Linked DNA regions of Xenopus tropicalis. The protein of the gene in region 1 interacts with the protein of each later gene in a pairwise test. Links are inferred from orthologs where the notes say so. Each region holds a gene or a part of one and is shown in the gene's direction. Other genes may lie near its edges.

Evidence for each region.
Region 2: the proteins of tfip11 (region 1) and ppp1r18 interact in binary tests that used the Homo sapiens proteins (3 or more experiments, as listed by UniProt). The link is inferred for Xenopus tropicalis from reciprocal best matches to the Homo sapiens genes TFIP11 and PPP1R18.
Region 3: the proteins of tfip11 (region 1) and zmat2 interact in binary tests that used the Homo sapiens proteins (3 or more experiments, as listed by UniProt). The two-hybrid records come from large-scale screens. The link is inferred for Xenopus tropicalis from reciprocal best matches to the Homo sapiens genes TFIP11 and ZMAT2.
Region 4: the proteins of tfip11 (region 1) and bmf interact in binary tests that used the Homo sapiens proteins (3 or more experiments, as listed by UniProt). The two-hybrid records come from large-scale screens. The link is inferred for Xenopus tropicalis from reciprocal best matches to the Homo sapiens genes TFIP11 and BMF.
Region 5: the proteins of tfip11 (region 1) and gem interact in binary tests that used the Homo sapiens proteins (3 or more experiments, as listed by UniProt). The two-hybrid records come from large-scale screens. The link is inferred for Xenopus tropicalis from reciprocal best matches to the Homo sapiens genes TFIP11 and GEM.
Region 6: the proteins of tfip11 (region 1) and ccdc146 interact in binary tests that used the Homo sapiens proteins (3 or more experiments, as listed by UniProt). The two-hybrid records come from large-scale screens. The link is inferred for Xenopus tropicalis from reciprocal best matches to the Homo sapiens genes TFIP11 and CCDC146.
Region 7: the proteins of tfip11 (region 1) and ccdc68 interact in binary tests that used the Homo sapiens proteins (3 or more experiments, as listed by UniProt). The two-hybrid records come from large-scale screens. The link is inferred for Xenopus tropicalis from reciprocal best matches to the Homo sapiens genes TFIP11 and CCDC68.

The regions. Positions count from the first base shown.
Region 1 is NC_030680.2:15,107,215-15,112,155, forward strand, and holds the start of tfip11 (tuftelin-interacting protein 11), read left to right. Parts: upstream 1-1,990; 5' UTR 1,991-2,102; intron 2,103-2,276; exon of another isoform or gene 2,277-2,574; intron 2,575-3,440; 5' UTR 3,441-3,445; coding exon 3,446-3,645; intron 3,646-3,763; coding exon 3,764-3,914; intron 3,915-4,466; coding exon 4,467-4,623; intron 4,624-4,941. UniProt on the Homo sapiens protein: Involved in pre-mRNA splicing, specifically in spliceosome disassembly during late-stage splicing events. Intron turnover seems to proceed through reactions in two lariat-intron associated complexes termed Intron Large (IL) and Intron Small (IS).
Region 2 is NC_030684.2:75,504,140-75,508,412, reverse strand, and holds part of ppp1r18 (phostensin), read left to right. Parts: intron 1-1,453; coding exon 1,454-1,646; intron 1,647-2,715; coding exon 2,716-2,735; 3' UTR 2,736-4,273.
Region 3 is NC_030679.2:26,879,659-26,883,931, forward strand, and holds part of zmat2 (zinc finger matrin-type protein 2), read left to right. Parts: intron 1-2,059; coding exon 2,060-2,205; intron 2,206-4,273. UniProt on the Homo sapiens protein: Involved in pre-mRNA splicing as a component of the spliceosome.
Region 4 is NC_030684.2:114,268,568-114,273,469, reverse strand, and holds the start of bmf (bcl-2-modifying factor), read left to right. Parts: upstream 1-1,491; 5' UTR 1,492-1,844; intron 1,845-1,938; exon of another isoform or gene 1,939-2,038; intron 2,039-4,902. UniProt on the Homo sapiens protein: May play a role in apoptosis. Isoform 1 seems to be the main initiator.
Region 5 is NC_030682.2:127,873,951-127,877,789, reverse strand, and holds part of gem (GTP-binding protein GEM), read left to right. Parts: intron 1-1,806; coding exon 1,807-1,883; intron 1,884-2,254; coding exon 2,255-2,459; intron 2,460-3,839. UniProt on the Homo sapiens protein: Could be a regulatory protein, possibly participating in receptor-mediated signal transduction at the plasma membrane. Has guanine nucleotide-binding activity but undetectable intrinsic GTPase activity.
Region 6 is NC_030679.2:78,127,065-78,131,337, forward strand, and holds part of ccdc146 (coiled-coil domain-containing protein 146), read left to right. Parts: intron 1-414; coding exon 415-507; intron 508-1,929; coding exon 1,930-2,100; intron 2,101-4,273. UniProt on the Homo sapiens protein: Essential for sperm flagellum biogenesis and male fertility.
Region 7 is NC_030677.2:203,243,234-203,247,506, forward strand, and holds part of ccdc68 (coiled-coil domain-containing protein 68), read left to right. Parts: intron 1-274; coding exon 275-357; intron 358-945; coding exon 946-1,051; intron 1,052-2,459; coding exon 2,460-2,543; intron 2,544-2,820; coding exon 2,821-2,894; intron 2,895-4,077; coding exon 4,078-4,156; 3' UTR 4,157-4,273. UniProt on the Homo sapiens protein: Centriolar protein required for centriole subdistal appendage assembly and microtubule anchoring in interphase cells. Together with CCDC120, cooperate with subdistal appendage components ODF2, NIN and CEP170 for hierarchical subdistal appendage assembly.

The DNA.
Region 1 (4,941 bases):
AGGAGGGGGACAGAAGCCGTTGACAGATTTAAAGGGATTGTTCACCTTTGCGTTAACCTTAAGTATGATGTAGGGAGTGCTATTCTAAGACAAACTGCAATTTGTCTTCTTTTTTTATTATTTGTACTTTTTAAGTTGTTTTACTTTTTTCTGCAGCTCTCCGGTTTGGAGTTTCAGCAGGTATCTGGTTGCTAGGGTACACATTACCCTAGCAACCAGGGAATAGTTTAAATAAAAGACAGGAATATGAATAGCCTCGCAAAGGCTGTTGGGGTCAGTGACCCCCATTAGAAAGCTGGAAAAAGTCTGAAGAAAAAGGCAAATAATTAAAAAACTTTGAAAAATAAATAATGAAGACCAATAGGAAAAGCTGTTCTGTAACATACCGATAGTTAACAAAGGAAAACAACCAATTAAAGAAATTAATTCAATTGTTTCGCTATTAACAAACTACATTAAGTGATTCAGATCCCCACACACTGTGAGCCTGGCACTGCCCTTAGGGGCACAGATTCGCCACTCTGCGTGGGAAAACAATCCCTGCCCATCGCTTCTTTCCACTTGCTTGCATATTAAACTAGCCCCTAGTAACCAAGCCCCTAGTAACCAAGCCCCTAGCATTCCAATCCTGCCCATCTGATTATTACACAACCCCAAGCTTGCAGAACCCCACTTGCTTGCATATTAAACTAGCCCCTAGTAACCAAGCCCCTAGCCCCTAGTAACCAAGCCCCTAGCCCCTAGCATTCCAATCCTGCCCGTCTGATTATTACACAACCCCAAGCTTGCAGAACCCCACTTGCTTGCTTATTAAACTAGCCCCTAGTAACCAAGCCCCTAGCAACCAAGTCCCTAGCCCCTAGTAACCAACCCCCCTAGCCCCTAGTAACCAAACCCCCTAGCCCCTAGTAACCAAGCACCTAGCCCCTAGCATTCCAATCCTGCCCGTCTGATTATTACACAACCCCAAGCTTGCAGAACCCCACTTGCTTGCTTATTAAACTAGCCCCTAGTAACCAAGCCCCCAGTAACCAAGCCCCTAGTAACCAAGCCCCTAGTAACCAAACCCCCTAGCCCCTAGTAACCAAGCACCTAGCCCCTAGCATTCCAATCCTGCCCGTCTGATTATTACACAACCCCAAGCTTGCAGAACCCCACTTGCTTGCTTATTAAATTAGCCCCTAGTAACCAAGCCCCCAGTAACCAAGCCCCTAGTAACCAAACCCCCTAGCCCCTAGTAACCAAGCACCTAGCCCCTAGCATTCCAATCCTGCCCGTCTGATTATTACACAACCCCAAGCTTGCAGAACCCCACTTGCTTGCTTATTAAACTAGCCCCTAGTAACCAAGCCCCTAGTAACCAAGCCCCTAGTAACCAAGCCCCTAGCAACCAAGCCCCTAGTAACCAAGCCCCCTAGCCCCTAGTAACCAAGCCCCTAGCATTCCAATCCTGCCCGTCTGATTATTACACAACCCCAAGCTTGCAGAACCCCACTTGCTTGCTTATTTAACTAGCCCCTAGTAACCAAGCCCCTAGTAACCAAGCCCCTAGCCCCTAGTAACCAAGCACCTAGCCCCTAGCATTCCAATCCTGCCCGTCTGATTATTACACAACCCCAAGCTTACGGAACCCCACTTGCTTGCTTATTAAACTAGCCCCTAGTAACCAAGCCCCTAGCAACCAAGCCCCCAGTAACCAAGCCCCTAGCCCCTAGTAACCAAGCCCCTAGCCCCTAGTAACCAAGCCCCTAGCCCCTAGTAACCAAACCCCCTAGCCCCTAGTAACCAAGCACCTAGCATTCCAATCCTGCCCGTCTGATTATTACACAACCCCAAGCTTGCAGAACCCCACTTGCTTGCATATTAAACTAGCCCCTAGCAACCAAGCCCCTAGCAACCAAGCCCCTAGCAACCAAGCCCCTAGCCCGTAGCCCCTATTCCAATCCTGCCAGTCTGATTCTGACACAACCCCACGCTTGTAGAACCCTACTTCCGGTGTCGCGTCCCGTACGCGTCATTGTGTAGGCGTGACCGGAAGTGTGCCGCGTACATTACTGCAGCCTGTGGAACCCGGGGCTCAGGTACCTGGAACTGGAATATCGGTAACTATGACGCCTCATGGAAGCTTATTTTAGCATTTAGCCCCACTTGTTTGTGTTTGGTATAACTAAGCCGGGGCTGCTCAGTGAATACGGGGTGTCTGGTTCCCGCACAGGAGCGGAATGGCCATGTGTACCTGTCTGGTGTCAATGGCTGCGCTATTAGTTTCTTCCCCATAACTGTTTGAGGGGATTATGGGAGTTGTAGTTTAAATCCTGACCTGTGATTATTGTCCCTTACTAAATGCTGTTACATTGATTGCTGCATTGTATCTGGGTAATGCATCCAGTTCCATAGCATGCCATTTACTCACTCCATGCCCCATTCCTCTCCCATCACTCACTTCAGCATGGCCCTCTTTAACCCCTTATGGGTCACTGTAAGTAGTAGTACTTCTCTGGTTGGCTGTGGCTACTGAGCCATTCTGGCCAATCAGGAGGGGGAACGCAGCCGACTGGACATATACTGTTCAAGGTTATTTCTATCACTTGTCTTTTTTTTTTTTTACCTAAATCCAAGGAAAAGGACATGGAATGTTTTGGGGGGCCCCAAGGCACAACCCTGTATAGCCATAAAGGGGTTGGGCACCTTTGAGTTATCTTTTAGTTTGATGTAGAGAGTGATATTCTGAGACAATTTGCAATTGGTCTTCATTTTTTTATTTGTAGTGTTTTAGTTATTTTATTTTCAGTTCAGAAGTTCTCCAGTTTGGAGTTTCACCAGCTATTTGGTTGCTAGGGCCAAGTTACTTTAGCAGCCAGGGAGTGGTTTGGACAAGAGACTGGTATATGAATAGGAGAAGGCCTTAATAGAAAATTAAAGTTACAAAAAGTAACAATAAAACTGTAGCCTCACAGAGCGATAGATTTCTGGCTGCCAGGGTCACTGACCCCCATTTAAGGGCTCTGGCACACAGGGAGATTAGTCGCCCGCAACAAAACTCCCTGTTCGCGGGCGACTAATCTCCCCGAGTTGCCGCCAGTTGCCATCCCACCGGCGACAATGTAAGTCGCCGGTGGGATGGCACACGCAGCGGCGCGATTTCGGGAAATCACTGAAGTTGCCTCGCAAGGCTTTTTCGTCGATTTCCCGAAATCGTGCTGCCGCGTGTGCCATCCCACCGGTGACTCGGGGAGATTAGTCGCCCGCGAACAGGGAGTTTTGTCGCGGGCGACTAATCTCCCCGTGTGCCAGAGCCCTAAAAAGTTGGAAGGAGAAGGCAAATATTTAATAAACTATAACAAATAAATAATGCAGACCAATTGAAAAGTTGCTTAGAATTGGCCATTCTATAAAACACAACAACTTATATATTGTTAAATATTGTTTCCCTCTCTCAGGCACCATGTCTATGTCGCACCTTTATGGCAAAGATGAGGACAGCGATGGAGTGGAAATGGAGAACTTTGAGATCACGGACTGGGACCTACAGAATGAGTTTAACCCCAACCGCAGAAAGCATTTCCAAACAAAAGAGGAGGCGACCTATGGGATGTGGGCAGAGCGGGACTCTGATGATGAGAGGCCAAGCTTTGGGGGGAAAAGGTTGGTGGGTCTTTAGATTGGTAGGAGGGGTCACTCAATAGTAATAGTCACCTTCTTGCGTGCAGTTAATGATACAGCACCACCCAATACGGACACCTTTCATTTTATTTCTTCATAGGTCTCGAGACTACTCGGCCCCTGTCAATTTTATCAGCGCTGGGATCCGTAAGCCTGCTGCAGAAGAAAAATCTGATAGCGATTCCGACAGTGAAACGCAAGCAAGGAGGGAAACTTTCCCAAAGGATTTTGAGGCAAAGAAGCTAAGGACGGTAGGATGAGTCTAAGGAGTGTTTGTACTTCCCAATAGTAATAGTCTGACAGGGTTAAAAGGGGTGTTCTTCTTTAAACCAACTTTTGGTTGCTATTCTAAAACAATTTGCAGTTGGTCTTCTTTTTTTTTTTATTATTATTTAGCTTTATATTCAGCACTTTTCCAGTTTGGAATTCTAACAGTTATATGGTTGCTATGAACCAACATAACCTAGCAACCAGTCAGTGGTTCAAATGAGAGACTGGAATAATAGCAGGAGTGGGTCTGAATAGAAAGATAAGTTTAAAAAAAAAAAAAAAAAAGTAATAACAGCGTAATTGTAGCCTCACAGAGCAATAGTTTCTTGCTGCCGGGGTCAGTGACCCTCTTTAAAAAAAATGAGGACCAATTGAAAAGTTGCTACGAACTTGCTCTTCTATAACCTACTTAAAATTAACTTAAGGACGAACCATCCATTTATAAGAGAGAGAACTATTATTGTAAGAAAGACACACTATATTCATTGTTTCATTCCAAAGCTTCAGTCAGTTTCAGTTTGTGTATTTTACAGGGTGGTAATTTCAAACCATCACAGAGGACATTTGCTGGAGGAATAAAGTCAAACACAGATTTTGGTTCTTGGGAGCGGCATACCAAGGGAATCGGCCAGAAACTTCTTCAGAAGATGGGTTATGTGCAAGGAAGAGGCCTGGGAAAGAATGCTCAAGGTATAACTGGGTTCTTTGGCCAGTGAGGTTAAATTAGAAGCTCTACTGAGGCAGGGGCTATTCTCAGATGGAAACGTGCAATAGTAGCTTTTATTATAATCTGACTGTAAGTATGTGAGAAAAATGTATTTTATAGCCAGGATATTCTTTAAAGGATAAGAAAACTTCAAAATAAGTTGATGAACATTTGCAATTTACATTCATAATTATTTTTTTAATGCCAAGATATTAAGGGATAAAGTATTGTTAAAGAGTTACTGACACCAGAAATGAAACCTTTTTTACATCAATCATAACATTGTCTTTGCATGAGCTTTA
Region 2 (4,273 bases), on another chromosome or scaffold:
ACATATTTAAAGGCAAAAGAAAAAGATCAGAGGTGGAGGAAGGGTAATGGCTGGAGAAAGGGTTGAGATTTAAATAGAAAATGAGATAATGAACTTTGATTAACCACTGAGCAGGGCCAAAAGATACAGTAATGAGATTATGAGCAGTTAAGGAGGGGCTTTGTGACTGGGCACACGTCTCTGTCCCTCTTCCTACTGCTTTATTCCCCCCCCCCTTCCCCTCCGCCGCAAGTTCCCCACATAGCAACACCTCCCCTCCATGTTTCCTTCTTCCCCTCCCTTCTTACTCTTAACCCCCCTTCATTACTGAGATGGCTCAGCTGGCCATCCTGCGCCCAGTCTTTTCAGTGACCCATAATGCCAAAATCTTGTTAAGTGGCAATCCAATTAAGATTAGTAGGTCTTTGGGAATTAACCCATCACTGGTTTCCAAATAATTTCTTTACTATTAAAAGGACTGTAATACAAAATACAGCTTGTTCTTACATAGCTTAACATGTTGCAACAGCCTCTAGCACTAAAACAGATTTTGGCTAGGAATTCCCTGAGTTACAAAAAGTGCCTTGCCTATAAAAGAGATCAAAGACTGCAATAGGTAACTGTTTGGTAATTTCATTAGCACACCTCTTTAAATAAAGATAATGGTTGTTCTGAAGTCCAGATTGGCAACAACAAAGTAAAATAGTGCCTGCCAACCTTGTTTTTAAAGCAGGTACACAGATAGGAACACTTGTGAGAGTAAAGCTGGCCATACACGTGGCGATCTGACGATGTTTCGTACGACCATCGGTCGCACGAAACATCGTCGGATCCGCCACACACCATTCAGGGCTGAATCGGCAGGTAAGGAGGTAGAAACAATAGGATTTCTACCTCCTTCTGCCGATTCAGCTCTGAAGGGAGAATTTTGGTCAGGCGCCTTCTATGGCGCCCGATCAAAATTTTCTAACCTGGCCGATCGGCGAGCCGACCGATTTCAGCAGCTTCCTGCGATATCGGTCGGCTCGCTGACATGCCATACACGCACCGATTATCGTACGAAACGAGGTTTCGTACGATAATATCGGTGCGTGTATGGCCACCTTAACAGCAGAATTTTTAAAGTAGTTCACACTTGTGAGAGTAACAGGTGGTGCAGGAGAATGTGAAGGAAGCCTGGGGTAGGGGGGAGTTGTTCATTTTCCTTTTTAAGACAATTTTCATTAAAAAAAAAAAAAAGTAAAACTATGTATCAGTTAGTGTCCCTCTAGGCCCACCTTACCCCCTGGGCCCTCTAGCAACTGCAGGGTTTGCTTCCTCTATGTACATTCCTAATACATAAAATATAAAACACAACAGGTATGTCAGAGTATGTGGAACCATGCTCCTTCGGGGACTTCAATGGCAAAAAATGTTTTTTGTTGAAACTTTTTTACCTACATTCTATTTTTTTTTTTTTTTTTTTTTTTTACAGTTAAATATCTCTTTCCCTGACTCTGAACTGGAGAGCACATTTGAGTATCCCTCAGAGAGCTCCCTCTTAGCTGAATTTGGACCCCCAGATGAACCAGAGGCCATTGCAACACCAGTTCCTCAAACTGAAGATGATGAAGAAGAGGACAGTGTCTTATTAGGGGGTATCTTGAGAAGAAAAGCCCTTATAGTCGGTAAGCTGGAAAAAAATAAATCACTTTTTCCTTTCTTATATGCTCCCCTCTCTAAACTGACATTGTTACTTGCCCTTCCCAGACATCCTTCTAGAGATGCTATTATACAGTAGAACCTCCATTTTACTTTTTTCAAAGAACAAGGGAAAATGTAAACTAGGGAAATGCTTTATGCATTATATACTGGTGTAAAATAGGGAAAACTTAAAATTGGGGTATGTAAAATTGAGGTTTCACTGTATTTCTTTCTAATTATCCCTTTTATGTTTTAAGCAAGTTCATAGTTTCATAGGGTTGAAAAAACAGTCCATCAAGTTCAACCCTTCCAAGTAAACCTAGCACACATAAACTTTTACTGACCTATATATACACTCACATACATAAACCATATATACCAACATCAATACTAAGGGGTATATTTATCATGCTGTGTAAAAAGTGGAGTAAAACATCACCGGTGATGTTGCTTAGAGCAGCCAATCAGATGCTTTGATTTGATTTTCTAACTGTTGAAATCTAATTGTGGATTGGTTGCCCTGGGCAACATCACCGGTAACACTTCACTCCACTTTTTACACAGCATGATAAATATACCCGTTACTGTAGATTTTAGTATCACAATAGCCTTGTATACTATGCTTGTTGAAGAACTCATCCAGGCCCCTCTTAAAGGCATTAACAGAATATGCCATTACAACATCACTAAGAAGGGCATTCCCCAACCTCACTGCCCTCATTGTAAAAAAAAACACACTGCTTCAAATGAAAGTCTGCCTCTGGTGCATTGATCGTTTTTAAAAAAAGAGCATCCCCTATCTGCCTATAATCCCCTCTAATGTACTTGTACAGAGTAATCATGTCCCCTCGCAAGCACCTTTTGTCCCAAGAAAACAACCCCAACCTTGACAGTCATGTATTTGTAATTCCTCATCTATTGCTAAAATACAGCACCCAGAAACTCTGTATTGTAGTTTCAAATGGGCTTGAGAGCTACATATAAGTTGTTGTTTTACAAGCCATGCACATATATGTTGCTTAATTTTTTTCCTGCTTTATTTTTGCATTTCAGACGAGTCCTGCAAACGTTGAGGGAATTTCAAGAATAATTTTGGGAAAAGAGCACAAGAAACCTGTGGAATTTCCATTTCTACAAAGAGGGCATTGTAAAACAAGAGAACCTGCCCCCCATGGCTTAGTTTACCAGTGGTTCTACAAAGGTTTACTGAATACAAAGGACTGTACAGCCAAACAACCAAAAGCACCTGGAAGAATTGTTATGTTAAACATCTGACCAGAAAAACAAACTTTTGAAATTGAATTATGGTGACTAGCAATGACCTACTGGAAATTACAATAAGACAAATATTGTTCACCACTGCAGTATTAAAGATTACCAAATGAACTAGTACTGCTCACTAAAGCAATCTTTATAAATGACCCTCATTAGAGCAATAAGGCCACACAAATGAGGAAAGTACATTAATCCCCTCATTTTTATGTTAAACATAAGTGAGCTGCTCAGTCATATCTTTGCCAATACATTTCTGCGCTAATACATATTCCTCATATTGTCACTGATGCGTTTGTTTTCCATCGGTTAGATTACACCAGAAGATGGTTAGTAACAGTAATTTTAAAAGACCACACACATACAGTTGAGTCAGAAATTGTATGTAATGTACAGTGTACAGTACTGTGTTGCCAGTAGTAACTTGGTTGTAATTTTTTTTAAAGGAGATCTAAACCAAAAAATTAAACACTTTGTTAAAACTTATCCAGAGTGAGCATTTTAGCAATTTAAATACATTCTGTATTTTTATTGGTTCCTGTGAAATTAGCAGTTTTATACTCTTTATACTATACTAGCAGCTCTCTCAAGACCATAATTATTAAAGTGTGTAAGCCAACATTACAACTGCCAGTAGCAACCAATCAGTTACTAGATTTGAACGGTCACCTACAAGTTAGAAAACAAAAGCAAAGATCTGATTGGTTGCTATGGGCAACATCACTGGTGATGTTTACACACTATAATAAATATGCCCTTTGAGTGTCAGCAACCTTAATTGTATTCAGTTATACAGCTCAGTCCCTCAGTTGAGCCAAAAGCCAGGTATTAGTAGTCTAAAAATGCAAATATCTCAGAAATCACTAAAAATAGAAAATAAACAAAAGCTCTCAGAGAAGCACCCTGAGTAAGTTTCCATCAGTTATTTTTATGGGGTTTTGTTCCCCTTTTTACACCCAAAACTAGCATTCCTTCTTTTTACACACCAGAACTAGTAATATACACAATACAATGCGATCAATAGTTTTTAAAAGTTTTTTATTTTTGATTGCCCAACACTGAACAAGTTTCTAACAAGCTGTTTTGGCACTGTTAAAAATGGTACCAGTTAGATTTATAAATGTATTCTTGCTTTGTGGATTGTAGAATAATTCAGTAAAAAGGGATACCCACTAATTTAAAGGGGTAGTTTGCCATCCAAACATTTCTTTACCAGTTTAATTGATTTTTTTTTAATTGCTTTTCAGTGTTTGGACAGAGATAAATAAAAATGTTAACTGATTAATTTCCACTTCAATGCATTCCATTGTAGAACCAGTTTTATAGAAGCCAGTAGAAC
Region 3 (4,273 bases), on another chromosome or scaffold:
CCAAATTACAGAAGGATCCCTTATTTGAAAATCCTCAGGTCCCAAGCATTCTGGATAACAGGTCCCATACCTGTATAACGATAGTAACAGACCTACAGTATACAAGCCCATGCTGCATCAGTAAGCAACTTTGATGTGTGTTGCTGGCTTCACTTATTTCTTTGCAGTCATGCAGTGCACATCTGAATGAATTATTAATTAGGACTTAAACATAGATTTAAATCTAACTTTCCTACAATGGCACTGAATTAGGGTTCAGTAAAGCCATTTAAGCTGTATGCAGCTTCTAATGGAAGTAATTGTTGGTAGATTTATTTGAAACATTCTTAGTAAAGGGTATCAGTGTGTTTTGAACAAAAATGAATCCGCAAATAATGTATATCCTAATATATGACATGGTTTTTACATATCAATAGATCTTACATTTATTTTGCAGGAATTCATAATACCTCCATAAACTAAAAGTTTAGCCATTATTTCAGGTTAGGTTGTACTCTATACCTCCATAAAATATAGCCGCAGTCTTCTTTAGAGCCCGTTATTAAGCGTGGGTGTAGAGGTGGATCTATATATAAAAAAATTTTGTTGAGGAAGGTAATTGCTCAGTAAATCACAATTTTGAAAACTGCTGAATCCCCGGCATGTGTTAGTGTTACGCATGTAATTAACTGCTGATTGTTAAGCGGTGACGTACGTACAAGGAAAAGAGACATTTTGACATTTTGCTTTGAAGGCTATATATTTAAACAAATGTGATGCTCTTTATCAGTGAGAACAGGCGCTGGTGACTCCTCGCTAATCAATTAGCTTTCATTTGAGTGCATTCTCTTTAGTTAGTTGTAAAGTTTTAGCTGCATTGAATAACTGACAGTAAAGGCTTTACTGTGTAATAAAGGGAACGTGCTATGATGAATTATTCTACACTTCTGCACCAGACACAATAGAAGTAGCAGGTAGCAGGAGTCCTTAAACCTAGTCTTTATATCAAATAGGTTTCCAACATTCAGGGCCTGTTTTGGCTAATGCCGATTGTTGCTGATATGAAGTGTTAAGGTTCTGTTGTGTCTGCTACCCATTTCTGGCACAATTTAACTGGCCACATCCCCTATTAAGTCATTGCACCTACTCTGCAGTTGGGCAATGTCCCCATCTCATTTCCCATAATGGGAATCTAAACACAATAGGAGCCCTGTGAGCTTGTGGCCAGTTGCTGCATAGCTAACGATACAAGCTAGAACAGTAACTTCTTTGGAGATGCTTGCGGGAATAAAGCAGACTGCAGTCATCTAAAGCTGGCCATACACGCACTGATAATTTTGTACAAAACCTCGTTTTGTACGGTATTCGGTGCGTGTATGGCAAGTTTGGGAGGCGACAGATATTGCAGAAGGCTACTGATATCGGTCGACTTGTCGATCGGGTGGGTTAAAAGATTTTGATCGGGGGCCATTGAAGGCGCCTGAGCAAAATCTGCCTTTTTAGGCTGAATCGACAGAAGGAGGTAGAAATCCTATTGTTTCTACCTCCAAATCTGACGATTCAGCCCTGAATGACCAATGGTTGCACGAAAGATCGAAAATCGCCAGCTTAACCGTTTCTGTCCCATTTAATCTTGCCATTCAGTGTGATGCCAGTAAGCATGAACCCAGAACAATAGATTCTATGTTACTGTTATGATGGCCCTTTTTTGCTGCCACTGTAGGTTCTGTGATATGTTGCATATGGAAGGGGAGTGTAATCCAGGATCGTGCACAGAAAATGAATAGATAATATAGAATGTGTGGAAAAGGACTGGTTGGTTTGTTTCGTTCTGGTTCTTGGTGTAATGCTGTGCCTTTTGTGGTAGGAGAGAACAGGGCATAACGATGGCTGCTTATAGAACCGTGTATAGTGCAATGTATCCTACTGGCCTGCAGCACTGGAAACTGTACAGGCCAGTGCAAACCCGCAGTGCTGTTCTTCACATAGAGATATGTTTCTAGTCTATATTAAATAATACCAATAAAAAAACTTGTAAATGGCAGTTCTTACTTTAATTTGAAAATGATCTTTATATCAGATCAAAGGAACTTGGGAATGTCAATGAGAGTAGAGCGGTCAACACTCGATCAAGTCAAGAAGAGATTTGAAGTTAATAAGAAGAAAATGGAAGAAAAGCAAAAGGACTACGACTTTGAAGAGCGAATGAAAGAGCTTCGGGAAGAGGTATGACTCTTTAGCCTGGAATTCCAGAAGCAGGTCTTAATTAGAAGCATCAGAGCGCAGATGCAATCAGTGACACTGAGAGTAAAGAAGCCCTTGTGCTGCTGGCCTAATCCTCTTACAGTATTCTGCAGGCAACAAAAATGGGTGCTCTTTACACACCCAGTGCTCTATGTAAAATGAAGATTGCATTTTCAACTATTTTCATGTTGGACTTTTCTAATTTTTAAAGGAGACATATTGCATCATACTCATTTTTTGGTAATATATTCCCCTTTCTCTAAAATGTATAGTGCTTCTATAAAAGAAGGTTTTAAAAACATTTTACCTGTTAAAAATGTAATTATACTAAAGCTGCAGAGAGATCCTTTCTCCTCTGCTGTCTAAGCTGAAATGAGGACTGGGCGTGTCCTCTCATGCTGCCTCAGGAAGTGATCATACTTCTGAGTGACAGTCAGAAAGTCCTGCCCCTGTATTAGTTTTGCTTCACTGACCGTTAGGACGGGCCTTTTTTTCAATGAGAATAACACGAAAGCATGAAAGTTGGATGGCACTCCAGCTGGTAAATAATAACTTTCTTTATAGGAAAGAGGTTTATTCATGGGGGCCTGCTGGAGGGCCCTTTATATCACAGCTGATGGCAATAAATTGTGCATAAAACTCCCTGCAAACTATTAACCTTTTTTTTTTACATAAATAAAGGAAGTTTGTCCTCCTGCCTGCATCCCCCTCAGCTGATTGTGTCCTCCTTTCCCTGACAGCCGTTTTGTCCTTCTCCCCCCCCCCAGAGTCTTTCTGTTTTGCTTCCCCCCGAGAGCCTCCTTCTCCTCCCCCCCCCCCCCCCCGAGAGCCACCCTGTCTGCTTCCCCTGAGAGCCGTTCGTAACTTTTGACAGCTGCCCCTGCGCTTCTTATAAGGGACGTTCGGCTCTGTGCTTCTTTATCTGAAAGGAGCACAGAGCCGAACGTTCCTTATAAGAAGCGCAGGGGCAGCTGTCAAAAGTTACGAACGGCTCTCAGGGGAAGCAGACAGGGTGGCTCTCACGGGGGAGAAGGGTGGAACGGCTCGCAGGGTGGAGGGGGGGGAAGGATGGAATGTCTCTCAGGGGGGAGCAGGGTACGGCACAGCGGTGGGCAGGTAGCTGGCAGGTGGCTGATTAACGGTGCAGATCTATGTGCAAGTACGTGGTGATTGCAAACGGCCAAACTGACGTCACTAGAAGCACCTCCCTCCCTTCACAGTCAAAGCCCTCAGTAATGAAGCTGTGAGAGCCGGCGGCTCTTTAGCAAACTATACAGAGTCTTAAACCGGAAGTCCAGGATAGGAGCATAACAAGAGCAGTTTTTGGCCAATTTCATGAAATTTCACTTGAAATGTACCCAAAAAAAGCCAATTCCTTCTATTTTACATTAAAAAACATCCATTAAAGCACTCTGAAAAATGATGGTATATGTCCCCTTTAAATATACTTCAATACATAATAAGACAAACTTCCCTTTTAAATGAGTACTTTCACTCAGGGCAGGTTTCAAGGCAGAGCAGGATGGACATTTATCTTGCCTATTGGTCACCCAAAATGAATGTAGATAGAAGTACAAAGGGGAAGTTTTATTGTTAAAGCTAACATTATTCAAAGTGTATTCACCCCTGCCATAGAAATGCATGTGGGCACCTATATGGATTGCTGGCTCTTTACAGGGGTGGTTCATCTTTAAGGTATCTCCTAGTAACTTTGCAATTGAGCGTCAATTATTTTTTTTTTCACATGGTTTTAATTATTTGCTTTTCTCTTCTGCCTCTTTTCAGCTTTCAAATGGCAGTCACTGACCCCATCAGCTTAAAAACTATTCCTCTGTGAGGCTACAGTTTTAGTGTTACTGTTTCTTACTTATCTTCCTAGTCAGGCCCTGTCCTAATAATATTCTAGTCTTTTATTTAAAACAGTGCCTGGTTGCTAGGAAAGATAAACCCTAGCAACCAAATAGCTGCTGAAATTTCAACATGGAGAGCTGTTAAGTAAACGTTTACTTAAATAACCAAATAAAACATAAAAAATTAAAAATGAAGACCA
Region 4 (4,902 bases), on another chromosome or scaffold:
TTATCAGCAACTGCATTGCCAGAAATGTGGTAATACTGGCCCCAGCTGTGATAGGGTGTTTGCTGGCTCGCCCAATAAAATTCTGTCCGGGTGGCAAACCTACATCACCCATGTGAAAAAGTAATTACCCCCTTATACATAATAACTGGCCGCTCCACCGTAAGCTGCAATAATTGCAAAATGATTCATTTGATGTCAGTCTGTCACATTGTTGCTGAGTCATTTAGCCCACTCTTCTTTGTAGAACTGCTTTAATTCACACATTGGAGGCCATTTATAATGTTTGTAATTTTTTTCTACAATTCATTTTTTGGAACTAAAATTAAACAAAAGTGATTTTTCACCATGTATTATGCATCAAAACCATGAAAAGCGTGAATGCAAAAATACTCCATCTAAAGGCTGTCGCAGTCATGTAGAAGTCAGTTTGGTGCTGTCCAAGGCAATATTTATGCGGCCCTTTTACTTCGAGGTATTTGAGTTTTACATATTTTTTGGGGGGAGCTACTTGTGCTATTTAAGTTATGTAAAATTCACAATTAGGGGTTTTTGCTTTTATTTTTAAATTCATTTATGCTTTTCTCATTTATGAGTTTAGTGGTGGTAGAAAAAATCTCTAAGGGAGAGGTGTATGAGATATGTGCTTTTCTCAGCCCTGCGGATCCGCTTCATTAAAGACTTCAGTCTTAAAAACTATGGCAACTGCCCAAGTGTGGGCACACAGAGCGGAGTAGATCGAAGGTTGGCCTAAAAAATGCGAAATCGGGCATTTTCCAGGCCAACCTCCACTCCGCTGAGGTCCACAGGGGAGTGTACGGAAGAGGATCCACTTCTCTCAGCCTGGCTGAAAAACATAGGGCTAAAGGTCCCCGATACACAGGCCGATTAGCTGCCGAATCGTTCTAAAGGACATCTGTATGGTGTATTGGGGACCTTAAGAAAAGCGTATATGTTTTATGTGACCTCGCCCTTAAACTACACAAACTCTGATTTTGATAAATCTGCCTCATTAAGTCCATAAAGATGGACTTTTTCTAATAGGTTGGGAATTTTGTCATGGAAAAGGGAGGCCGCTATCAGTGAGAACTGACTAATACAACATACCTAGCCAGGCCAGGAATAGGATCCAAAATAGGTCCTGGCATTTCAAGTACACAGAGGCCCAACATCTCCCCACCAGGCCAATAACTAGTGACTGACTGTGGCATCTTACAGCAGCCCCTCTGGCATTTGCCGCCCAAAACCCACAGAGTGACGGGGGGGGGGCATCACTGGCATGCATAGTACAAATACCCAAATGCTACACAGCTACAAAGGGACTGATAAAGAGCTGAGGGGCCCCCACAAAGCTCCTATGGTGAGTAGATTATAGGCAAGCTGGAATCAGTCAGAGCTCACAGTGTTTATATTAGGAAGGGCGTGTGTACATTACAGCACATCCCCGGGCTCAGTATGGGGATACATGGTTATGGTGCAGGTAATACTGTTTGGCTTATGGCAAGTAGTTGGTAGTGAGTACAGTAAAACAAAGTTGGTAACAGAAGCCATATCACGGCCCAAAGAATGGACGCCAGGTTAACTCTTCCTGGCTTAGTGTGTTGAAGTGATTGTATTCCGAGCAGTGAATTGTATTCCGAGTGTGAATCGACCGAGAAAAGGGCAGCGGGGATACGGGACACAGGGGATGTGAAGCAATCATTGCTCCGCCTGCCAATCACAGCCGGTCCCTCCCCAGCCGCTCTCAAACACACTCACAGAGAGACTTCACGCAATGAGCTTGCCGCTACCCTGCAGGTGAGAGGACACACGGCACCCTGCCTGCCTGCCCGGATCCCCCGCCAAAAGTAAGTGATCAGCGGGGCTGTACACCTGTCTGGGGACTGCAGTGGTCTCTTCCACTGAGGCGTGCAGATGTTATGTATGGGTCTGTAGGAACGCAGCCGGGTCAAACCATTCTGCCAGCCGGGGTGCCCTGTGTGAGCGCTGGGTGCAGTGATGCAGTAAGGGGATGATGCGCTGCTGCTTATAGAGCACTTGGGTGACATTACTTTCCTGCTTACATTTTGGTTTGATTGTTATCTGTAAGGGCAGAAACTTTAGTGTAAAAAAGAATTTGCACTAGTGCTATTGAACAAGTTCATTGCTACGAACGGGCGATATCAGATTGTAGCTTAGTATTTATAGAGTTAAACCCGCCCGTGTTCCTGATGAGCTCAGCTTCCTGGCGTGTGTGAGTTGCAGTTTAACAACTGCAGAAATGGACTTACTATGCAGTTTAAAACTTATCCTAAAGTCACAAGTGACTTTTGATGGTATTTTATGGCTCATAAAGGGAGAGTAGGTACTAGCAGATTGGTGAGCTATCAGTCCTGTGGATGTTGCTGAACTACATCTTACACTTTTTTACCAGCTGGCAAAGGCTACTGCTGGATGCTAAGAGCTGTATCTCAATTAAACATCTGTAGGAGCTTTTCCTGCCTGTTGGAGAGAATACTGTGCAGGGTGTTTAGTATTTATCCTGCTGCCCAGGTTATGACTGCCCCCTGCTTTATAGAGGGGTTCACTTCAGTCCTCAGTCCTCTTCCATACTTGTCTGTTAGAGTGGGAACAAAACATATGAGTAATAAGACAACTGCCTGGAGATCTGAGAGGCTGCTGTTATGTTTGGTGCCAGGAGAGAATGACCCTGTTCCAGAAGGTTGAGTCAGGATAAGCTGGCAGCGGAGGTCAGGCGTTGGGTAGCTGCTGCCAGATGTACACGGCACATCTGTTTTTGTGTGGCGCTGATGGACACTTGAGCTCAGCAGGATCCAGCTGGGATTAAATGACTTGGAGTTTGCAGAGAGAATCCAGAGTGACAATGAAAGGAAAAGCCTTGAGGCTCTTTAGCCATTTTATAGCAGCACCTCTGCAATTAGAGACAACTGCAAGAGCCAAGCAGAGAGAAACAGTCGCACTCATCACTTTGTTTTATATCAGATATGAAAATGCTAAGATCCAGCTGAAAGCCTAGCGGTGTGTTACTTTAATTCCTCTTCCTCCACTTTCACTCCATTTGTTTGCATCCCTGCTTGTGTGCACGTGCTTGTGTATGAGTGTGTGTCGCCATCGGTTCCTTATCTGTTTATTGCAGTGATCCCCAACCAGTGGCTCATGAACAACATGTTGCTCCCCAACCCCTCGGATGTTGCTCTCAGTGCCCCCAAACCAGGTAGTTATTTTTGAATTCCTGACTTGGGGGCAAGTTTTGGTTGAATAAAAACAAGATTTCCTACCAAATAAAGCCCCTGTAAGCTGATAAGGGTGCATAGAGGCTCCCTAATAGCCAATCTTAGCCCTTATTTGGCACCTCCATGAACTTTTATGGTGCTTTTGTTGCTCTCCAAGTCTTTTTACATTTGTCTGTGGCTCACAAGTAAAAAAGGCTGGGGACCCCTGGTTTATAGCATATGAAAAGGCAACCACAATAACCCATTTCTCCTCTACAGCTGATGAAAATTCCCCCCTTTTCCTACTGGGAAGAAAGAGCCTCTTGTATTTATACAGAAACCTATACTTCTAATATCTTTCTTTTTTACCCAAGTCCAATATGTCAAAAATATAGTTATAGTAGATGATAAAAAAAAATCTCAAAAGTACTGGACCTTAATACAAGGTTGAATTTGATTTGTCTTTATTTTAACCTCAGCTACTATGTACTTAAGAACAAGAGGCCCACTAGGTAGAAACTGAATTGCGGGCACGGCCTATAAATCCTATTATCCTAAGTCTGAAACTTTTTATTGCAATAGGAAACAGTAGGCATCATGGAGCCATTCAGCTTCTGTTGCACTACAATTCCCAGAACCTTCCAATCGCCACCCCTAGGGCCACTGCTTGGCCATTGTTTCTTGTAATTGTAGTTCAGCGAAAGTACATGGCTCCTCTTGGCTGAGTGGTGCCCTTTCCGGTTACGCAATCCATTGTGTCTGGGGCTTTCTCGCGTGTGTGCCACAGTGGGATACCTCTGCTGAGACCAATTTGCACTAATGGCGGTGGCACACACATGAACTGCAGGGCTTCTTAGGTCAGATGTGGTGGAAAATATCCAGACGTGCCCAATTGTTTTTTTATTGTGTGCTTGTTCCTGCTTCACTAGGAGCCGCTGTCAGCTGCTTGTAATACCGTCAGCTTCATCGCCTGCACTGCTCTCTTTCCAAACATGACTCAGCGCTCGCACACACTTGGCCTTTGGCAGCCACTGCCTCACGTGTTGCTGTCAGGAACCTTCCCCTCTGATAAACAAACTACCTCTTTTGTGATGTTGTTCCGGGAACAGCACAGTCAAAGTGTAGCCGGGAAATACATTTGTAAAATGTGTCCCCAAACTTCCCCACCCCTTTAAAAAAAGAAAACATTTCTTTATTCCCAATTGTCATGTCCCTGTGTCAGTCTGTGGCCCACCAGGTGTTCAGTAATCTATCCCTGTATTTGTATAGCCCTGACATATTGCGCAGCACTCCACAGAGAACGATAAATTCTTCACGTCAGTCCCTGTGCCATTTAATATTACAGTGTATGATAGGCAGGTCTGGACTGTGATTCAAAATAGGCCCTGGCATTACAAGTACACAGAGGCGCAAACAGACCCCCCACCAGCCCAATATATAGTGACTGTCTATGGCATCTTACAGCAGCCCCTCTGGCATTTCCCAGGACCCACAGATTGCCAGACCTAATGATAGGCATACACAAGGGCCAATTTAATCAGAAGCCAATTAAAGTTCTAGTAAGATATATAATTCACTAAATAGATCTCAAGTTCATGGAGGTGCCAAATAAGGGCTAAGATTGGCTATTAGGGAGCCTCTATGCACCCTATCAGCTTACAGGTGGCTTTATTTGGTAGGAAATCTTGTTTTT
Region 5 (3,839 bases), on another chromosome or scaffold:
TACTTGTCTTGTTTCACTTGATAAAGGGCTTTGCCCAAAACATGTAGTGGAACACACTAATAAACACTAATTGCAGCAAAGCCCTGCAGTGTCAGGTGTCCTCCATTATCTTATATGATGTCTACATGCAATTAGTGCTACAACAGGAGCACAGGAGTGATAGCCTGCTTGAATGAGGTAGCTGAACTGGAATACTGGATTTGGAAAGTTTTTGTTATATGGTCTAAACAGTCTGGTCTCTAGACTCCAGTTTGGATTCGGTCTTTCCAAATCCTATAGACTTTGTTAATTTAGAGCTTGAAAACAACCAGAATTTTTATGGAAATCCAGTAACTGAAGGGCTGCTGACTAAGACTAAGACACATGTTACTTTAGGCCCCTTGGGAATAACCCCTATTGGGGTACCTAAACAATAGCTCTGAGTATAGTCCTTTGTAGGTAGCGTTCTATGTATGCAAAAGTAAGTGCAATCCTTCCAAGTCAATTTGTCATATTTACCTAAGGGATACAAAGCTCTATGTATGGTCGTTGTGCATGGGGAAAGTTCGCAGACAGATTGAGGCAGGCAGCGATGTGGAGCTGGGGGCAAGAGCATGAGATTCCTCTGACAGCAGAGAAATTAACTGTGTTTTCTCTCAGAGGTGAAGTCACTTTTTCCATTACCGTGCAATCTGGAGTTTATCCACTGAAGGCAGCCGTGCAAAAAAGTGTTTTTATTATGTTCAGTAGAAACTATATGGGAAACAATATTTAGCAGAGTTACCTTCTGGCAAATCACGGTTTGTTGGATCGGAGTTCCAAGTATCTAAAGAGACATTAGACTTTATATAGTCAATGAAGTACCCTCTATGGTAAAATATAAGGATGTTATAAGTCACCAAAGAGTTCAATGACCATATATTGTGGCTTCTAATGTCCCCATATTTTAAAACAGGGATCACATTATTTATTATAATACACACGTTTCAGTGAGTCATGTGACAGAAATTACATCACAAATCAACATTTATATAGGATATAATTTACATATATTCACTGCTCTTGTGTATTAAATTACTGTATATACTCTAGTATAAGCCGATCCGAATATAAGCCGACGTACCTAATTTTACCTAAGAAAACTGGAAAAACTTATTGACTCGAGTATAAGCCTAGGGTGGGAAATGCAGCAGCTACTGCTAAGTTTTAACAATCAAAATAAATACCAATAAAATGACATTAATTGAGGCATCAGTGGGGTATATGTTTTTCAATATTTGTTTAAAAGAAAAACAGTAAACTAGCTCTGTAAGTGGAGAAAAGGGTCAACAAAAACAATATGAGTACTACCCCACGCTCATTGCACATTGGCAAACTGGCAGCAGACCCAGTCCCGGAGGAGATGTAAGGGGAAATAAGTATTGCTAGTGGGAGCCTAGGCCAGGGCACTGGAGGGTCTGGTTGCGGGAGGCCTAATTTGCACACAAAGGAGAGAGAGTGCTAGCCTAGAGGGACCCATGGCACCCGACTCGAGTATAAGCCGAGGGTGACTTTTTCGGCACATTTTGGGTGCTGAAAAACTAGGCTTATACTTGAGTATATACAGTATATATGATGTGTGGTAGTAACACAGGACCATAAGCAATGGGCCTAAAAGTGGACTGCAAGTTAAATACATGAGGCCCAATATCTGAAGGGCTGACAAATACAGAGAAATAGCAGATTCTTTATTTTGTTTCCAATGCCTTAATAACAGGTCCATCTCAAACTTTGCCCTAGTTACACAGTAAATCAAAATATATAAATTAATTTCCTTTTCTCTTTAAGAAAACACTTATGAAAGAAACTTGATGGTGGACGGAGAAAGCGCAACTCTGATTCTAATCGATATGTGGGAAAATAAGGTACGTTACACTGTATGTATTGCCTCTCTTCCCTGTCATGGGGGCTGCTGTCCTGCACTTTTTGTTTAGGGTATATAGAGGGTTTTTGTCTAGGGTATATATCTACTTCTCTCCTGCACTGTCTACTAGGGATGTCTACTAGGGATGTCTACTAGGGATGTCTACTAGGGATGCACCAAAAAAATATGGTCATGGAATCCCTTGGTGACTTCTAATATACCTATATTTTACAATATGGGGCACACTGTTCTCTGTATATTAGAGTCAAAGATATAGCTATACATACTAATATCCTTCCTTAAAGATATTTTGCTAGTGGTTTATGGTTCCACCCATAAATTGCAACTACAATTTGTGTGTTTTGTTGCCAGGCTCAAGACAACTGGATCCGTGAGCAGTGCATGCAGGTTGGAGATGCCTACCTTATTGTCTACTCCATCACTGACAGAGCAAGCTTTGAGAAAGCCTCTGAGCTGCGCATACAACTCCGTCGGGCGCGGCAGACAGAGGACATCCCCATTATACTTGTGGGCAATAAAAGCGACCTTGTCCGTTGCCGAGAGGTCTCTGTCTCAGGTAAGTGCAACACACATTTAAATGCTTCCTACTAAGCAAACCCACTGGCATAAGCTACAAATGTCATACAATTAAAAGCCAAATTCCATTTTTTGTTCATGTCTGAAAAAGAAAAGAAAGATTTTGCGTGCTGACATTGTATCAGTTCATGATTTCTTTCCCCAGCTTTTAGTTGGATAATGAATTCCATGTACCACATAAGCCATAAAGGCGCAATCAGTTGCTATGATCTGTGGCTCATTTATCTTGGTTGCTATATGCATAGCAATCATTTTATTGCTTTGTGAAAACTTTGGACTTTTGCTATGAGAAGCTGCAGTGAATCTGTGGTGTTTTCCAAGTCCAAAAATGTGACAAAGCTGTAATGGGTCATTGTTATGTTTTTATCCTTACTGCCTCCCACTCCTCTTAGAATCAGAGGGCATACACACACCAATCCTGTATGGTATCTGTGAGACAAATACTGTAACAGGGGCTGTAAACAATATAGCCACCTTTCAGTTGTCTGGGGCCAAAGAAATGATGGAAACAGCAGAAAGTAAAGATCTACAGTTCCTCTTCACTTCATCTGCCAAGGCACCATGTCTTGGCCATTTTCAAACCTGCCCAATCAACAAACCAGCCAATATCCATAGTACAGAGATGCTGGTTGGGATCACTGAGCCACTATACATGTACCACAAATTTTATCTTAACTTTTAGCTTGAATTCAGAGATGATATTTTTATATTTACAAGTACAGTTCCGGATTTATATAGTTGGCACCCCTAGGCCCCCGTCACTACTCGTTGTGCCCACCACCCTCCCCTTCTTGCATGAGTATGTGTAAATTTTCCTTGTTGGGTATGGAGCATTGGCCATCGTTGAGCAGGGGAGTTAAAAACTATCAAGTCCAGTGGTGGGCCTAATGACTGCCTAATGACTGTTGTGCCCTAGGCAAGCCCAATGACAGGGCAAGTTAGCTTTCCCCAACTCTCGCGAGAACTCTCCCGCTCCCTAAGCCGCCAGCCTCCGGAGGAATAGAAGAGCCAAATTAGGACTAAATAGGCAGAGAAGGTATGTGATCTCTGCCCCCCAGTGTTGTGCCCTAGGCACCTGCCTTCCCTGCCTACCCCTAGTTCTGTCTCCTGCACATCCCCAGTGCTTCAACCCCAATTTAGATGCAGTTGGGTGGTGTTCTGCCCCCTAAAGTCCTGCCACCTTATATCTGGGCCTTTGTGCCCTTGCCACAAGTAGTGTAACTACCATACAGCTGACCCAACATGAAAGGGGGGGCCTAGGTTCCACCTCCCACCCTTGTTCCTGCCTGTGATGCTATGGGGGCCAACTCAATCAGTTCCCACTCTCATGACTGACTCTTCTTACTGGTTTAACATCCCA
Region 6 (4,273 bases), on another chromosome or scaffold:
TTTTAAAGCAAAACACTTTCTGTTCTGCTGTGTGGATTTGTCCTTGGCTGCAATCATAAGCAAAACTGAAAATAGTACTGTGGCAAGAAATGCAGTGTACAGAACAAATAAAGTGTGCCCTCTCCTGGAAAATTAAAAAGGTCTGCTCATTAGCTGAATAAGTACGTTTCAGATATGGATACAAATACACATGAAAATCTCGAAGCTAAATGAAAGGGGGCCAAAATAGCCCTTATTGTGTTCCTGTGGTTGCTAGTGGGAGGTCTATTTAAGCACTCTGATAAATGTACAAGGTATTTTAGATTACTACAGCAGTATCCACTGTGACAGCCTTTATAACCTAATATGCATAGTGAAGTGGCAAACAAGCTGATTTTAGATAAATCGCCCCACATTTTCTTATTTGCACTTTAGGTTGACTGTTTTCCTAAAGCTGATGCACTGCTTGAGAAGAGAAAAGAGCTACGAAAGGAAGTAGAAGTAATAAGAAGACAGTTTGCACAACAGGTCGGTTTCCTTCCTTCTTTCAAATTCACTGTTCTGTTGACATCCTCAGTAGCTGTCCCCTATGAACATTCTGTTAGATTACCAGAATACAACCCTTTGCTTTACCTTCTGCTGTGCCTGCTTTGTTTGCAGGAATTCATTATGCAGGGGCATTTTCTCAAGTCCTATTCATTAATCTCAGGTTAACTATACTATACTGCCCTTTTAATACCCAGTTGGAGTTGCAGGGTTAGTGTTCAATGGAAAATGCACAGCACAATGTGTCCAAAGGAAAATAAAAGCACTCTTTAAGTGCTTAAATGTTTTTGTTTTTTTTTAATTTCCACCAACAGAGTCAGAAAACGTTACTGCATTGTAACTACACTTACTATACTTAGCCAACTTTTCATGGCTCATTCTTGAAGTTATCAGGTAATTCTCAATAACTATCTAGCCCTACTCCACTCTACTAAAGTTACTATATTTTAATGAAAAGATGGAGCAGACTTTACCATGGTGGGCCTAATGACGGTATTGGCTCAGGCAGGTCCATTTATTGACTCTGCCCCCAGGTCACAGGCAGAGGCAGGGCTTGATAGTTCTCTGAACTCTCACCTTCCCTAAGCTGACAGCCTCCAGAGGTACAGAAGGGCTAAAACTAGGGGTAAATAGGCAGAAAAGGCATGTGCTCTGCACCCCATTACTGTTGTGCCCTAGGCAAATGCCTCTTCTGCCTACTCCTAGTTCTGGCCCTGGACTTAACTGGACTTTGACTTGAGAAAGGGCTCTGCCCGAAACATGTAGTGTGCTGACACTGCCATTAAATTCACTGCATTTTTCAAATGCTGCTTGGAGCTGTTTGATTCCTTTTTGGCTTTCGATCTTATGATATACTGTTGGGGTGGCTCACAGACACCTGGAATCAGCAGCCGTATACTTCTGATTATTTGTGCTGAACTATAACCCAATCATTTTTTATTAAAAATGTATAAACTTTTTAAAAAGGTTTACAGTATTTATATGAAAAAGTGTTTGCAAATGGATACACTGATGCACACTGATACACCAGAACATGTTATGCAGAATATTTTAATGTTTGAAGTGCATTATCTGACCTCTAATATTTGAAATGAAAGAGCCTTGCTAATAAATTAATAAATGGATTATTACAAAAATGATTTGCTTGCATACTCACTTAAAGGTTTAATTCTGATGTTTCAGTCTTGATGACCACACAATAAACCTCAGTGGGCATAGCTTGCATTCACAACAGACATGGAACACCTCATTTGAAGCATAAGTAAAATAATATCTCTGCCATCTAGTTATACTGGGAGCTCTTCCATGAGAAGCCATAACAAGAAGTTATAGAATAAAACACATATAGCTACATGAACAAGATGTTTGCTGTCGCTAATCATTCTTATTTATTTTACAACTCAGCAAACTCTGACTGAGGCAGAAGCCCATACACTTGAGCAGTGCATTGCAGAAGAAGAGCAGCTTGTGAAGGAGCAAAGTGAACGCAGGGAAGATCTGGTCAATCTAACGCGTTTAGTTCAAATTAAAGCTGAGGAGAGAGAGCAGAAATCACGGGATTTGATCAAAGCAAAGGTGACTACTATTCCAAATTATTTATATGCAGAATAACTTGTTTAGCCTAAATATAGCTTTTACTTCACAAATCAATCTAAAGAGATTAAAGGGGTAGTTTACCCTTAAAATAACTTTTAGTAATATGTAGAGCATTGATATTCTTGGACAACTTCCTATTGGTCTTCATTTTTATTTTTAGTGATTTTTCAGTTATTTCGCTTTTTGTTTTCCAGTTTGGTATTTCAGCGGCTATATGGTTGCTAGGCAGTAGTTGGAATGAAAGACTGGCATCTGAACAGGAGGAATAAATAATAAAAAGTAACAATAAAAATACAGCTGTAGTCTCACAAAGCAATGCTGTTTTGGCTGCTGATTCAGTGACCCTCATTTGATGCAGCATCAAAGTTGCTAGGAACAGGACATTCTATAGCATACAACATGTTAATTACCCCTTTAAATAAGTGGCAAAATGATTTACTTGTTTTTGACAGTAAATGTTATTTTATTGAAATAAATGGCAATCTGAGCAAAGCCAACAAGGGGAAAAATAAGAACTGCCATATGAAACATGCAGAGTCCCTAAACAGCAGGCCTGGACTAGATTCAAAATAGGCCCTGGCATTTAAAGTGCACGGAGTCAAACAGCCCCCCAGCAGCCCACTAAATAGTGACTGTCTTTGGCTATAAAGCTATAGAGCCAAGTCTATTAACAGAGAGTTAGTATTATATATATATATATATATATACATACCTACATATATATACATATATATATACAGTAGTAAAAATAAAAGTGTTATAAGTTTTAAGTCTGTAAAAAAAGTTTTGCAATTGCTAAAAATATCAAATTCCAAGGAATGTAGGTTTCGTAGCCTATTCATAAATCATTACAACACATTTCTGGAAATGACTCGAGAATGTGCTGCACATGCATATTAAAACAATTAGAGCTGTTAGGGTGTTTTTGGCCTGTTTCCCAATAATGGAAACATATATTGTGGAAGTGGTTACTCTTCTTTGTCGGTTGTCACAATTTCTCAAACGTTGCATGATCTGTTACGCACATATATTTTTCACTATTGTCAAATACCCAGGAGATACATAGTTTACATTTCTGTATTCTCATGAATAATGTAAAATGCTATTGTTTTCCTTTGTAGGAATGCTGGATTACAAGAATACATCTCCAAATGCTTGTAGTTAAAGGCCATATTGGTCATGTGTTTAGTATGCATATAGTGAAGCACTGTATCCTGGCTACCTGATATAGCTATATTTCCAGCTTATGTAGCTAGGAGCCATGATGCTTGGGTCTTTGGTCTGGAAACTGACACCTCATTTTCAGTCAGTCACAGTATGAATAATATAACTAGCTTCAGGGTTAGACTGTGCTGATGGCCCAGACCCGAGCTCCATCCAGCTGCTGTTCTCTCCCCCCCCAGTGCACACAAAAGTAACTATACTGCATATGCGCTCGGGGGAAAGGGTTGGGTGGGCAGCGGGGGGTGCAGGGGCCCCTGGGGTGTATCACATGTACACTGGACTGTATCACATGTCAATGGGTATTCAAAACTTGTCACTTTGTTCAACCTACAGTAGTTCTATCATGAATACTTTGACTAAAACATATTTTTAAAACATTTTGTAAAAGGAGACATTTTTTAAGCAATTTACTGTATTGGGTAAAGTCCTACCAAAAGGTGGACGTCTCCTTTAAAAACTGACCTATGAGAATTTAGACTGAAGCAGAACTTATACTATACAAAAAATACATGTGACGTTTTTGGGACTCTCGTCCCTTTCTCAAACATGATATATACTGCCTAATCGACTCTTCTTATACCCATAAGTCCCTTTGTTCCTGTTTGCAGCACCAGCTACCTGCTTCATCTTAAAGACACATGGCTAAACACAATTGTACAAGTATTACACAAAGACATATATAAAGACATATAATTATATAAAGACATATAAATCATAATCACGATTCATCCCCCGGGCTCTAATGTATGAATCCAAAATACGTCAGATTTTTTCAAATGTAATTCTCTATTACCTCCACGCCTAAGTACTGGGATCGATTCTATCACAGCGTATCGGAATTGAGAGGTGCTATGTCCGGTTTGTTTAAAATGATGTGGGACAGGCAATTTAACTACTTCATTCTTGATTGTGTTTGGAAATACAGTCC
Region 7 (4,273 bases), on another chromosome or scaffold:
CACCATCTAAAAGCTTGTGAGTTTCTATAGAAGTCAGTGGGGGTTGTGATAGGAAAAGTCAAGGAACATTCTCAAACTCTAATCTTTCGAGTTTTCAAAGCTTGTTTCATTCGAACGAGTTTTCCTTATTAATAATTAAGCGACCATTGGATATGTGGATATTTGATTTAGAAAACCAAACTCAAATTGACAAAACTGATAAATAAGCCCCCTAGTGTTGGTATATATCAATAATCTTTGGATTCATTTCTCTTTTTTATCTCTTTGTAACAAGGAAAAGTCGATATTACTTGAGAAGAAGCGGCTGCTAGAGAAGGAGATTTCTCAAAGAATGTCAGACCCGTCTTATAAAAATGGGTAAGTCCATTCCTGACATCAAAAAAGGACAAATCTAAGGTTAACATTGACTAATGTAGAGTTCTACCTCCAGATAGGAAGCTCTGCTGCATTTACCCATATGACACCATTAAATTCCATGTGTAGGTTTGAGCCCATCCCCTCTGCATTTTACTGGTGGAAAGCTTCCTCTCCCTGACACGGCCAGTAACATTTAATAGTATTTTTAATTGGCTGAACCCCTACTGACACTGGGAGCCCTCTTCTACATCTATCCACCCCCTCCTACACACCTCCAAAAAGCAGATCTCGATCGGGCAGGTTAGAAAATCTAGTCGGATCGGGGACTGCATCAGGCCTAAATTCCCCCGATATCGCCCACCCGTAGGTGGGGATATCGGGAGAAGATCCGCTCGCTTGGTGTATGGGCACCTTAATTCTACAACAAGAATCAAACTCTCTTATATGAACTATTATCAACATCTATGATTAAACCCCATCTGGAGGGCCACATAGGTGCATCCCCCAATAAATTTAATTTCTAGCACTGTACAGTTTTATAGACAGGGGAATAATCTATTTTCTTCCCGCATACAATGAACCATCAAGCTGTGGAAACACTCGGATAGAGATAGCCACTGTTGAAGAGCAAATCAACCACTTGCAGCAGCTCATGATGTCCCAACACCAGTTCCTTCACGCTTTGATACAGGAGGTGAGATGAAAGTTGGTTTGTAACATATAAAACGTTATTAAATCGAAACAGAGAAACTATCAGAGCTCAAGAAGAATCCATCCACTTTCTAGTGGTATTTTTAGAAGCATAATTATCTATGGGTAAAAGTTCACCCATAAAAGTGAATGATAAGAAAGTGGGTGGATTTTTCTGTAGTGAACTCTGATCTTCCATTTTGAGATATCTGCCCCTAAATGTTACCTTTGTCTTAAAAGAAACTAATAATTGCATCTGTATCAACAGAGCAGGGAAGATCTGGCTTTCCTTGGTTTTATTGCTCATGATTTGTCTAGTTGTGTGATGGTTCTGTATGACTTCCTAAAGCTACTGGGATTCTGCTAATCACATTACAGAGAGTCAGGAAAAATAACCGTCCTGGTTATCTGAAGACCTTACTCCTCTTGAGAAGATCTCAGTAGCTTTATGAGAAGACCTTACTCCACTTGAGAAGATCTCAGTAGCTTTATGAGAAGACCTTACTCCACTTGAGAAGATCTCAGTAGCTTTATGAGAAGACCTTGCTCCACTTGAGAAGATCTCAGTAGCTTTATGAGAAGACCTTACTCTACTTGAGAAGATCTCAGTATCTTACTCCACTATATGAGTACTGTGAGAAAAGAAAGATGGTGGAAGGGAACTGGATCTTAACTTGAAGGCCAGTTAGAGTAAAATTTGGGGAAAATACTCCTGGAAGCTTAGCAAGTCAAATAGAGTGGAATTTGGGGTATATTTTGTAGAAACTATGGGCAATTAGCCACAGTTTTCTACAATCTTCTCCAACTATATAATAGTTGAAATTGACACGGTTCAAACATTGTGTTTTTCACCTTACCAGAATACTTATTCTTAATTGTTATTTTACCAAGGGTAAAGGGTTTTTATGTGTTTCATTTATGGTGAGGAGCCAATAAGGTGGTGATTTATCAACATTTGAATTTTTTTTCCATTAGTCGAAGTTTTTTTTGCTCTAAAACTCCCAATATTTATCTGTACTTGAATTAATATCCAAGTGCAAAAAAAAAAACTTCGGCATCTAAAAGCTTGCGAGTTTCTGTAGAAGTCAATGGGAGTTGTCCTAGGCAAAATCAAACCCTATTTCCAATTCAAGATATAAATAAGCCCATAATAGTAGGCAGACATCAAATTACTACATGCAGCACAATTCAAAAATGTTCTAGAAAGGCCCATGCATGGGCAGTAAATACCCATTGTGATGGCTTTGGGAATTTTTGTGAAGCTGATCCACTGTATCTCATACCTTCTAGAAGTGAAGGAGCCAGCACAGGAGGCTTGGGATGATACTGTAAAATAACAAAAACAATAATTCCAGGAATCTCAAGTTCCTTCATAATTGGCGTTGAGCTAATGGTTTCTTTGTAAACCACAGAGTGAAGACTTAAAAAATCGACTTAAAGAGCAAGACGTAACAATCGGGGATCTAAGGGAGAAGATCAGCTTGCTGGAAAGTCAGGTAATGAACCTTCTTAGTAAAAAATCAACTATTTTATGTGCTGGGTCAGTTAATTGATAGGATAATGACAGCAGGGCATCTACTGCTCTATGACTGGCCTAGAAACTGGCTGTTATGGTTTCACCTGGGCAAGCAGCCAAGGTTAATATGGGCAAGCTCTAAACGACTGTATATCAAACCCTTATCTCAATTGCGCAAGTGATTGGTACATTTGGTGGTTTCCCACCTGGGCTTTTGTACCAATAATCTGAATTTATGCACCTTCTTTCACCTACAGAATAAAGAACTGAAGAACAACGTGGAGCACTGGTCTCATGACAAGACAAAGGTGTCAAAAGGGACATTTGTAAAGTAAGGAACCTGCAGTATGTTGGTTGTTAATCTTGGAAAAGCTTGTGCCCTGATTGGCTGAACGGCTTATATAGGAAGCTAAAATCATTCATCGGCTTGCACACTATTTGTATATGTCCTCGTCTATGCGGCTCCATCTGTCCTCATAGTGCAGGTCAAGTGCAGGTAAGAAGACTGATTGCTTAGACAATCAGTTGCAGGGGCAGTCGGAACATCCTTCCACCAATAAAGCAAGACGTAACAGTTGGACAACTTTCCACCATTGCACTTGAGATTAAAATACCGCAAATTTACAGAGAAGCAGAAATTGTTAGACTTTGCATCAAAGCTTTACTTTTTACCTCCGTTTCCATTTTACTCACCATTTAGGCAACCCTAACGCTAACAGTGATGTGCAGGTCAACAAAAAGTCGACTAGCACCCACCCCTAACCCACCTGCTCCCAACCCAAACTCATTCCGACCCAGCAAGGCCCCTCTATTTATAGACCCGCACTTGACCCATCCATCTCTGATGTTACAAAAGGGGGTGGGGCATGCCTATAAATAGAGGCTGCCAGGGGCAGAAGCCAGTCGCGGGTGTGGTGGGCGGAATTAAGAACTCAACCCGCCTGCAACCTGGAAGTCTTGTGTGGAAGTTGGCCTGAACCTGCCTGACCTGTGGGTTTTGTGTAGGGATGCACCGAACCCAAGCATATGCTGATTAGGATCGGAAGGGGTTAAAAAAAATGTTTCACTGCCCATTTAACCCTTTCAGAATGCTAATTAGCATATACTAATTTGCTGGGACCGCAGATCCGGCCGAAACCAAATCCTTAAAAAAACTCCGGGATTCTCCCGAATGCCGAACCGAATCCGAGATTTGGTGCATTCCTAGTTTTGTGCCAGACTGCACTTCACTACTGTCGGACCCCCCTGGTGCTTACTAACACATGCACAGTAGAGTAATAATGGCAAGCTGGGGAATGTACCCCTGTGTTCTGTTGGTTATTACCCCGAGACCAGCCCAGGGAACAAACTTACCAAGTGGATTCAGTGGGGGTGCCTAACTTACTGGTAGCCCCCCAAATGAATCCTTCTTGTTTAATTATTTACTGTATAGACCATTTATATGGACCTTTGATTTGGAAAGAAGACCATTCCTTTTTCTTATCAACAAATGATCAAGTGCTTTTGACTTGCAGGGAGTCCATGTTCGACGCCAAGTCCCCTTACTCCAGGCTTTTACATTTACGGACCAGATATGTCACCGAGAAGAGCTGATCAACGCTAAGTGGGACCTTCCGTCCATCAAAGGTACATTCTGGACTTATCACAAGAAGAGCGAGAAAGGACGTCACACCTTACCCAACAGTGTTTGGACTCATTACTACCCATTGC